Caenorhabditis elegans: one gene and its partner. The protein of the gene in region 1 purifies or fractionates together with the protein of each later gene. This does not show direct contact. Each region holds a gene or a part of one and is shown on either strand. Other genes may lie near its edges.

Evidence for each region.
Region 2: the proteins of zig-6 (region 1) and pole-3 fractionate together in Caenorhabditis elegans (co-fractionation; one large-scale study listed by BioGRID). This does not show direct contact.

The regions. Positions count from the first base shown.
Region 1 is NC_003284.9:5,185,213-5,191,739, forward strand, and holds zig-6 (Zwei Ig domain protein zig-6), read right to left. Parts: upstream 3,866-6,527; 5' UTR 3,754-3,865; coding exon 3,693-3,753; intron 3,638-3,692; coding exon 3,487-3,637; intron 3,435-3,486; coding exon 3,286-3,434; intron 3,235-3,285; coding exon 3,094-3,234; intron 3,050-3,093; coding exon 2,961-3,049; intron 1,944-2,960; coding exon 1,803-1,943; 3' UTR 1,704-1,802; downstream 1-1,703. Other genes in the region: T03G11.9 (MARVEL domain-containing protein), read left to right, coding at 1-5, 173-247, 303-393, 1,266-1,411. UniProt on the Caenorhabditis elegans protein: Probably not involved in maintaining the position of ASI and ASH head neuron cell bodies and ventral nerve cord axons of PVQ, PVP, RMEV, AVK and HSN neurons.
Region 2 is NC_003281.10:6,460,639-6,464,650, forward strand, and holds pole-3 (DNA polymerase epsilon subunit 3), read right to left. Parts: upstream 2,219-4,012; 5' UTR 2,210-2,218; coding exon 1,943-2,209; intron 1,900-1,942; coding exon 1,770-1,899; intron 1,716-1,769; coding exon 1,699-1,715; 3' UTR 1,578-1,698; downstream 1-1,577. Other genes in the region: algn-1 (Chitobiosyldiphosphodolichol beta-mannosyltransferase), read left to right, coding at 1-26, 74-201, 531-683, 731-1,544; dlc-1 (Dynein light chain 1, cytoplasmic), read right to left, coding at 2,577-2,754, 3,035-3,126.

The DNA.
Region 1 (6,527 bases):
ATACGGTATGTTTTCGAATTTTTATTTATGAATTTTTAACTTAATTTATGACAATTATATTGCAACCACTATTTTTAAATTGCAATTTTTTTGAGTGCAATAAATATAAGTTCACCAGTATGTATTTTCTCTTTTCAAACAACAAATTGTTTTCAATATTCGATTTTTGCAGGTTGTGGCCATTCTCATGATGTTTGGTCTTTATTATGACAAGGCTTCATTACTTGTACCATTTATAGTTTCTGAAGTGAGTTTTCTCTGCGATTTCTTGACATTTCTGAAGACTAATTGCTGTTTTTAAGATAACGCAATGCGTCTGTTTCTTCATTCTTGCCAATTATGTTCTCTACTATACAATTGTGTTTCGAAGGCAGAAATTTTATCAAAAATTTGGTATGATTTCAGAATTTTTTTTGGAAATATTGGGAATGAGGATTAACTGAAAAGTCGGATTGTTATTTAAAAATGAAATTCATAGCCCATGTTTCTAAATAATTTCGAATGACAAGATGAAGTATTGAATTGGAATTTAACGACAGCTTATTTAATAATAACAGTCAAAACAATGAAAAATCAGCATAAAATAGATGTTAAAAAAAACCAAAATGAACCCGTTGAAACCGGAAAATAAAAATCAGGTTCCTCCCAGTTATTGATTTTGCATCGAGTTTCTTTTCTTCTCCGGTTTTTTTTCGTGATTTTTGAAATTTGAAAGGTCGTTCATAGAAATTTGCTTTAAATAGCATAAAACGGGTGGTAATGGTCACTTTAAAAATTTTTTCAATTGATTCGATTTTCTCAAGTTAGCAGAGTTATTGTTTCCAGCTTTTTACAAGCTTAACTGATTTATCTACTGTAACGTCTTAAATAAAACGATTCAAAATTAAAATAATTTTTTTAATTGTTGTACAGTTTTATAGTTATTAACATTTGTGCAATTTTTATGAGTTTTATTCAAATTGTTTCAGCAAAACATATGAAATGGCTTATTAGCCTACGCTACTTTGAGTTTTTCCGTTTTTTTTTTGTTGCGAATTGAACTGGTTTTTTCTCGGTGATTAGTTTTTGTATTATCCTAAATTACATTTTTTCAAACTGTGAAAGGCCATTTAATTTTGTTGGAAAATGGAGTACTGCATCATTCATCTGAATTTTTGCAAAATTGAAAAAAAAATAATAAAAGAATTGTTCGGAGTTGTATGTATAACATCGTATCCAACTGAATCTCTTTGCCACATATTCCCGCAATCTCATTTACATTTCAGATCAAATGTTAATGGTGATATCAATATATTTGGGAATCGTAATTTGTATAGGCGCCATATGGGCTGCCACCAAATGCTATCACTACCTTCGGCAAAAAGCCGAAGGTATCTATCCGGACAGTGGTGAAAGATGTATGTGGGAGTGAACACCAACCTCGTCATGATGATACTCGTCTTGTTTTTTGGACCAATGAAATATTTTATTATTTTTTTTCCAACTTTTATGTTTGTTGTAGCATAAAATATTCGTACGAGAATATATATTATGCATACAGTCCTGGGAAAAAAATTGCGTTCAACCAAGCACTCGTGAGCTTGTAGGGAACTTTTGTTACTGGAAACAAAAACATTCATGAGAAATGCCGTATTTGTTCAATATTTCTTTCTATTAGCGTGTTTTTTTTTCATATTGTTGCGTTGAACACGATCAGAAAAATGTTTTTAGCTATAATAATTTATTGAAAAGAATCAAAGTTATTCCAGTGACTCAAATGTTTGAAATGATAAAATGAGAAAAAAATCAATACACTTCAAAATTTAGTTGTTGGTAAATACTTTGTTGTGAACATCAGTGCAAAAACTGTTACACATCTGCTGGCATGCCACGTAGTTTTTCTCTCCTGTGGTTCCAAGAGTCACAGTTTTTGTGTTTGATGAGCCGCTGCTTACATGGAACACCTATAATAAAGAAACAGTTTTTTTTTAACTTTTCAAAATGTTAAATAACATAAAATAAGCTATAATGACGGAATAGAAAACTTAAAAAAATTAACAAAATTTTTTCTTTTTTTTTAAATTTTTAATTACTTTTAAATTTTGCAATTAGAATTTTGAAAAGTTCTTTACCTCAAAAAAAAATAAATCAAAAATATTCAACAAACTAGAGTGTTCAAAAAAGTAAATGTTATCATATTAAAATGTTTATCTCTTACGTTTGGTAAAATGTTATCCCATTGTGTTTTGAAATCACATTAGAATTGTTTTGTATAAAAATATTTATGTGACAAACAAAATATGTACAATATTTTAATAATAATTGCAATACTTAGCCAGTTTCTGTGACAAGTTTCGAACAAAGACATTGTTAATATTAATGTTTTACAACGTATACGCTGCTTTTATACTGGGTAGTTATCAAAGATCATAAATAACCGTAATTTTTTAATAAATTTTTTGAAAAACTCGAAGCACCTCAATAGGCTTCTTTCAATTCCCTTTATATTCATAGAAAAAATTATTTTCAAAAATTTTGCCCAAATATATTGAACTTGGTTAAGTAGCATTCAAGAAAAAAACCAAACTTCGCCAACTTTATGGCTAGATTTATTTTGCCGAAATTAAGCGCCAAATACCGAGATATTTTGTCAAAAATCCCTTCCTTTTTTCTCAAAAAAAAACTATCACTTCTCTTTTGATAAAAGTTTCACAGTTTACTGATAAGGTTTATCTGTATTTATCTGTCGGTTACCAGCTCTACACACAAAAGAACATTTCCCTACAATTACCATAAAATTAAATAGCACCTTTTGTCGACGCAACTCATAAATTTTACCCTTGATGGCTGCCGCCATTGTCTCACTTTTTGATGACTTAGACTACGGTAATTTTATATCTTTTTGCTCAGTGGCTGTCATTCCTAGATCTAAGCCCATTCTAAGATAATTTACAAGTTTTTATCCTATATTTTTCGTTTACCTCGCATGTATACTGTCCTGCGTCTTGTTCTGGTTGATAATTTTGAATTTCCAGAATAGACCCTCTACTGTAGAACTTGTGCTTACCACCTGAAAACACCTTGTTTCAACTAACAAATTTCCTCAAGACAAACCTTCCAGGATTTGCTTCCCGTGACGAGTCCAGTAAGTTATGACACTGTCTTTCTTGGCGGATACCTCACATGAAATATTAACCGAAGCAGTCGCTAGAACTTGACCAAAGTGAAGTTGTTTGTCTCGGAAGACAATGTCCTCTGCAAAAAGTGTATTATTTTTTCAAAATCTCGACAAACATTGAGACCTACCAAAAACGATTACATCCATCTTGTTCATGTATACTTTACTTCCAACCTGAGCTTGACAATAGTACACACCACTGTCCTCCACACTGGAATTTCTGATAATAAGTCCGAGAGTGTAGTCGTCTAGTTTTTTGACCTCGACGTTTCCAGTTCTAAAACATTAGCTGGGTTATATTTAATAGGAAAATAGGGATCTTGAAATACCGGTCTAGTCCACCATGTTTCTTCCAGATCATTCCTGGTTTTTCTCCATTACTATCAGTCTTCTTAATAGAGCACACAAGAGAAATCTGGTGACCAATTGGTTTTTGAACTGGGTTTGCATTTGGGCTAATGGAAATGGTTATTTCTTCTTCTGAAATGTTCATTCTTATGAATAATAACACTTTTTAAATTTCTTTTCAACAAACCTGCAAACGAATAAGAGACTAGGAAAACTAGTGGTAAAAGTAAAAGACATAATTTAGTCATCCTGTTTTCAAGGAAGAATTTCAAGGAGACAACCTAGTCCAAATGATAGTAGCCACCGCTACTAGAGACTGTTGTGAAGGCTTCGTCAGGTGTCAGTAAGATTCATTCTTGTAAAATACTCGAGGCTTGGGTTACCACCACTGCCCTCCTCATCTCGCTCGCTATTTTTTCAGATTAAAAGAACGCCGAAGGCTATTAAACAGGCTGGAGTCTTTTGAAAAACGTGATGTAGGTGATTGAGGGAGACTATTAACTCTGGATAATTGTTCTGATGTTTTTAATGAGAAAGCTCAGTGATTTGTGCACTTCATGATAGTCTGGAAAAAGGACAATTTTATTGAAAATAAATCATCAAACATCATGAATTAAATGTGAGAAACTTTTAAATTTGCAGTTATTGCAAGGTACTTATTCCAATACAACTTGATATGATTGACAACTGTAAATGAAATACATTTCAGAATATTTACAACAATATATAAAATTTTAATACCGAAGGCAAGAAGTGCGAAAAAGTTAATATTTCTCAATAGTTTTTAATATTGCGAAAAATAGTTATTTCATAATTTATTTTCGATTATTCAACTTTAAATACGCCTGCCGATTAAACAAACTAATAAAATATAAATATGTTGAACAATAATTTAAGAAACAGTGACAGTGTGATGTTCTTATTAATTTTTTAACATATACATTATTATTGCATTATATATGTAGGATTAATTCTCATTCAGATCAGCACGTGAACCATTATGTCAATACTATTTTAACTAAGATTTAGAAATTATTTTTTTAAGCCTAACAAAATTCAAATACAAAAACAATCACATGTAATTTCAAAAAAATTGAAAAACTTTTGGTACAAAAATAATTTGAGCTCTTTTCGTTATTCCCAATTAGATTTTTCGTATTTTCTCTTCAAAAAAATATCTCGGTTGCGATCAAAAGTTTTTTTCAAGTAGCTAGGTAACATAAAATTGTAAAAAATAGTTTAATTTGCAGTTATTGAAATTTTGATCCATCAGCTGAATGCTAAAGGCGAAACAAGCGTGCAATGTTGAACACTGAAAAATTCTAGTGCGCAAGCATCATGGAGTAGTAACTTTTTACTGGTTGATACTAAAAAGATTTTGTTCAATTCCAAATTGTTCAGTTTAAATCGGTTATTGAAGTCTTCTTTTTGACAATTTTTCTCCCAGTTTTAAGACATCAAAAAAAATGTTTTGTATTACATTTTCAAATTTAAGTTGAGTTGAATTTTTACAAGAATGGAGCCAAAAAGTAAAGTTTCTAGCAGATTTCTTACTACCAGTCTGGAATTTGTTCAAATTGAAAGCTATTTGAAAGTTTTTTAATACTCACTAATTAAAATGTTATCACAAGAAAAAATAAGCTGAAAAAATCAACTTTAAAACTTATCGTACACTATGTCGTGAACAAGTGCTGTAAAAATTATTTTAATTGGAGAGATTGTGGACAGTTTAATCTACCATTCTAGCGCGGGCCAGTGCGCCCAAAAAGCGACACTGATTGGCACAAAACAGCACTGAGCTGCACAAGTCTAATGCCCAATTGGCCTGATAGCGTATTTATTTTTGATTTTGCCCAAGAAGCCCACTGGGAGCACCATTAGGAAGTTAACTCCCAAATCCGCAGAGCTTAATGCTTAAAAACGATCATCCTTTTAAACTTTTTTTTAGTCATTGGATCTTCAAAATTTTTATTTCAACGTAATCAGTAACAATTAACTTTTTTTACTTTCAGAAACCCTATACAAATGCATATTAGTATATAATTTTCCACACGATAATGCATTTCATATAACGTCATTTTTCACATTTTTTCAGGTTCTTAAAAAGCCTTTCAAATTTGATTTTAAAAACGAGCAAACTTTCAAATTACATGTTTTTATATTTGCTGATAAGAATATATAAAGGTCGAACTTTCTGGAGGAAACAAAAAAATATTTGAAGTTTTGTGGTCCTTTAAATATTTTTCACACTTCCGAGATAGAGCCTCTCTGCAATTATCATTTTTAGAAATGCATGTCAATTATTTTCAATCATGACAGACTAAAAAATGACTGGAAATGGTGAAACAAATTTTAAAACATTATTATAACGGTCTTTCGGACTTAAATTAAAAATTATAATCTTAAATTAATTTAAAAAAAACGTAGGCATCAGTTGAAAATCTCAGTCACTTACAATTTATACATATGTTTATGTATCAACTAAAGTTTTGATAAATACAATCAGAAAAACGGAAGCTACAGTTTCTTATAAGAATTTTGAAGTTACAACTATAATGCTTCAAGCATTTTGTCACTTTTTCTTTCTTCAATTCATCACTTCTTCAATTTCTTCAAGTTCCCATAAAGCTTTTATGAACTCTTCGTAGATTGGTAGAAATGAGTGGGCTTATAAAGAATGCTCCGGGAGGTCACACTCCTCCGAACCTGCAATAAATTTTACGGTTATCGAGTGTTGTCCCGTCGTGTAGAAAACAATCTTGCAAATGCAGAACGTTTCTCATGATGTTTTCCAACTCGTATCTGTTCTTGAACCCAGCGATCCCTGTTCAGAAAATCTGACAAGTTTACAACGAAGTTGTTCTTGTGGTAACGGAAAAAGCAATCTTTAGCCACCGACGTTGCATTAGAGCTTTTCACGTAAGCTACCTCTTCTCGACTCTTGTTCTTAACACTGGCTGAAAGGTTTTTTACACACATTCATCATGACGGCTAAAGGACGTCCACGAAAGAACAACTGACG
Region 2 (4,012 bases), on another chromosome or scaffold:
TTCCGACGATGATAGTTTGTTTCATGGTAGGATTCTACTGACTACCGTTATAAAATATCAACTTTAATTTCAGTTTTCCATATTCAAATTCGCAAAATTCTCAATTGATTGGCACAATTACATGTATTCAATTCTACAAAATAAATACCAATTGACCGATGATCAAGTTTTTGGAAACGATAAAAAAACCAAAAAAGCCCAGTGAGTATTGGACACCGGCATTGTTCCCCGACGCGAAAAAAAACAGTCGGTACTCGGTCTCCACACGACAAATCTTTGTGAAACGAAGAATGACATACGCCTTTAAAGAGTACTGTAATTTATCCCATGAAAAATATTTTTTACGAAAACTGGAAAAATCACATCAAACTGTTGCAGCAACGAATTTGAAACTATAGTACTCTTCAAAGGCGCATAACCTTTCATATTTAACGAAAACTTGTCGTGCCGAGACCGGGCAACGTATTTTAGCCAAAACATTCGCGTCTGTACAATAAATCAAACTCGTATTGAACAATTTACATTTTCAGAATTGTGAGATGTGTTGGATTCCTAGAAGGTCTATGTGGAAAACTATCCGATTATAATCTGTGTGTAACAAATGCCATGCGTCGAGATCTCATGGATCGATGGGGCATCAGAGCCAGCACATTCTATGATAGGCCGCCGACGTGGAAATTTAGGTTTGAACAAATGTGAAATTTCTGAAAATTAATCTCGAAATTTTCAGAGACACAACAATACAAGAGATCCATGATTTGTATCTAAGACTTTCACAAAAGGAACGAATTCTACAAGGAAAAGACGAAGACTCCACAATTCTGACTCATAAATCTTCGAACGGAGTAGTGCAGCTACTAACAACTCGACCCATTGTGTTTCTCTCTTCCACATCCTGGACACCTGATGAACGGTTTGAAATTCTTCTCGATGCGCTGGTTGCATATGACAAAACAATCGGACTCCCGCGAGTTTTGATGATTATCACTGGAAAAGGTCCACTGAAAGCGAAATATTTACAAGAAATTCACGAGAAAAATCTGAAGAATGTCGATGTATTGACTCCATGGTTGGAAGCAGAAGATTATCCAAAGATTCTAGCCTCTGCTGACTTAGGAATCTCTTTGCACACAAGCACGTCTGGATTGGATCTTCCGATGAAAGTTGTTGATATGTTTGGAGCTAAAGTTCCAGCATTGGCTCTAAAATTCAAATGTATTGATGAGCTCGTTGAGGAGAAAACTAATGGATATCTTTTCGATGATTCTGAGCAGTTGAGTCGTCAAATTATTGAACTTTCTCGTGGATTCCCAAATAATTGCAATGAATTGATACGGCTCAAGAAGAATACACAGGAGCAAAAATTCGATTCTTGGGAAGTGATGTGGAAGAGATCAGCTACCTCTGGTGCAGACTTTCGAGTTCCAGACAATGGATTCGCCAAACTTCGTGCAATTATTCAATTCTCATTTTTCGCTATTTTATTGATCATGCCGATTCACTTATTTATGGGCACTTTTTCGGGGGCATTCAGATCGCTTTAATTTTTTTTCGGGGTTTTGTACATTCAATAAACTATTGGCCAAAATTGTTTATCAAAGTGAAATGTTAGAGACAAAAGTGGGACACGCGTTGAGAATCGGAATGAGATTTTACAGGAAGGATCGTTTTGAGCAGGAATGAGTTGGTTATGAGTGATCAGTTCATCAATGAATCTGCAATATTATAAATTATTCAGATAAACTTCAGATTTAAAGAATAGAACTAACCATCGACAGGAGTATCGTCAATAATGTCGTCATCCATTTCAGCATTGACAGAGCTGGATTCAACTGGATTTTTACGAGCGAGAGCCTTCTGCTGACTAATAACTTTCCATTTATCGTTGGCGGACTTGCACTGGAAATTTTAATTTCTTAACTCTTTCGAAACCCATAATTACATGATTGTGAATAGAAGTATTCTCAAGCTCTCGGAGTCCTTTGACAACATCATCTCCTGAGATCGTCTTGTGCTTCTGATCGCGAGCAGATTGAGCCGAAACGTCGGACAAGTTTATGAGAAACACTGCTGCAGCACGAGCGATGACGTCTCGAGCATCTTTTGATGCAGAAATATTGTCTTCTTTCATGAGCCGAGTCACAATTGCTGCTGGCATCATCATTTGAGCAATTCGATCATCGTTTTGATCCACATCGTTTGATGACATTTCTATCTTAAATTATTGCCTTGTTCAGTTTCGAGTATAAAAATGAAGCACAGATAATTAAGGGATTTAAAGCTATCCTTTTATTTTTACTTTTAGTGCGAGCACTTTTCGAGAACAAAAATATTATGAGTTCTCTTTTCTCTCAAAAACGGACAACGTAAGAAGATTTATGGGTGATGGAGGAAGATTCAAAGAAAATGAACAGTTTGAGCTAAATAAATAGAATGCGACGAAGGAAAATGTTTTTTGGGAGGAAAAGGAAGATTTAACAAGAGTGCACACTGAAGATCCTACGCCACCTAAGGTACACGTAGGATCAGGTCACAATTTAAAGATCATTGAATGTTTTTTAAGAACAGGATGGGATTTATCCAGACTTGAATAGCAGGATGGCGACCTGTCCAAGGTAGAAGTAGATAAAGTGCTTAGTCTCGTGGGTCACGTAGCTTCCAAAGTTTCTTCCGACGATGCAATGCCAGGTTGGGTTGTATTTCTTGTCGAACTCCTTCTTGATGTAAGCGGCAATATCCTTCTCGATGTTGTATCTGAAAAAAAAATGTTTTGATTTTATTTTTTAGACTTTCATCGCTTCGCTTTTTTCTTGCACAAGGATCAGATTTGTTCGATCAGCTGGTCGCTCCTGCTCGCCCCCTCCCCTAGACTCGGGCTGCCGTCCACTTTAGTTTAAATCAAGGGACCGATGAGCCGTTCCAAACAGCTAAACGACATTTCTTTACACTTTTTCTCTACTAAGCGACCAAGTGTTGTTCATGGCAATCGAATTATTCAAGCGTTTAAAATGCAATGAGAAAGCTCATAACTCACTTCTCGAGGGCCTGGGTGGCGCAGTCGATGGCGTCCTGTTGCATGTCATCGGACATGTCGGCATTCTTGATCACAGCCTTGCGGTCAACCATTTTGAACGGATTTGGCTGCAAAAAATACAAAATTAAATTAATTGAACACCGGGTACTCGGTAGTAGTTATAATAACGGTTGTGAATGCGGAATGCGGAGGTCAAAGAGATAGATAAGGATAATGGAAGAACGGCAAGGTAATTATTTGAGCGACCCAATTTATGACACGAAACAGGAGTATGTTAGTACGAATAAGGCTCTTCAGAGTATTAAAAATATAATTTGCAAAGCTCGGAGGCACTTGAGTACAGAGTATTTGCGCCCGCAACATGAAAAACTTTTGACGTGAATTGTTTAAATCTGAACAGTTTAGAAATAATGAAATAGATGAAAGAAGAAGAGTTCCCCAGTTATGTGTCATCGGGAACTTTTTTCAAAAGATATTTCATGTCAACAAACAGGCTACTTTTTCGATAAGAGTACACATCAGATTGTACGCATTTATCAGCAGCAGCATTCGTAAGACAACAGAGAAAAGATATCGAAAGTGGAGGAGAATGAAGTGAGCCAAAAGATAACAGTTTCAAAGAGTGGAGGAATGGGTGGCATTGGGAGACGAAAGAGAAGATGGCTGAGCGAAGCCGAGAGCGAGATAGGCGGGGCGCGTCGCACGCTGCACAGCCGCGTCGCACGCGACCCGGCTGTGTTGGAGTGTGCGACTCGGCTGTCGTCGGGGCAATGCGCGCGCACTCAAATGCAAACAGGCGCGTGCCCGCGTATTTCAAAATGTTTTGGGGTGTTGGTGGGAGCGAGAAGAAGGAGAAAAAAAAGAAAAAGTGAAGGGCGTTGGAAGAAACTGCGAGGTTGTTGTGTGAGACGAGCATGAATGTGTTTATAGACTCTAACTCCTGAATACAATAGACCGGAAAAAGGAAGAGGGTGAATA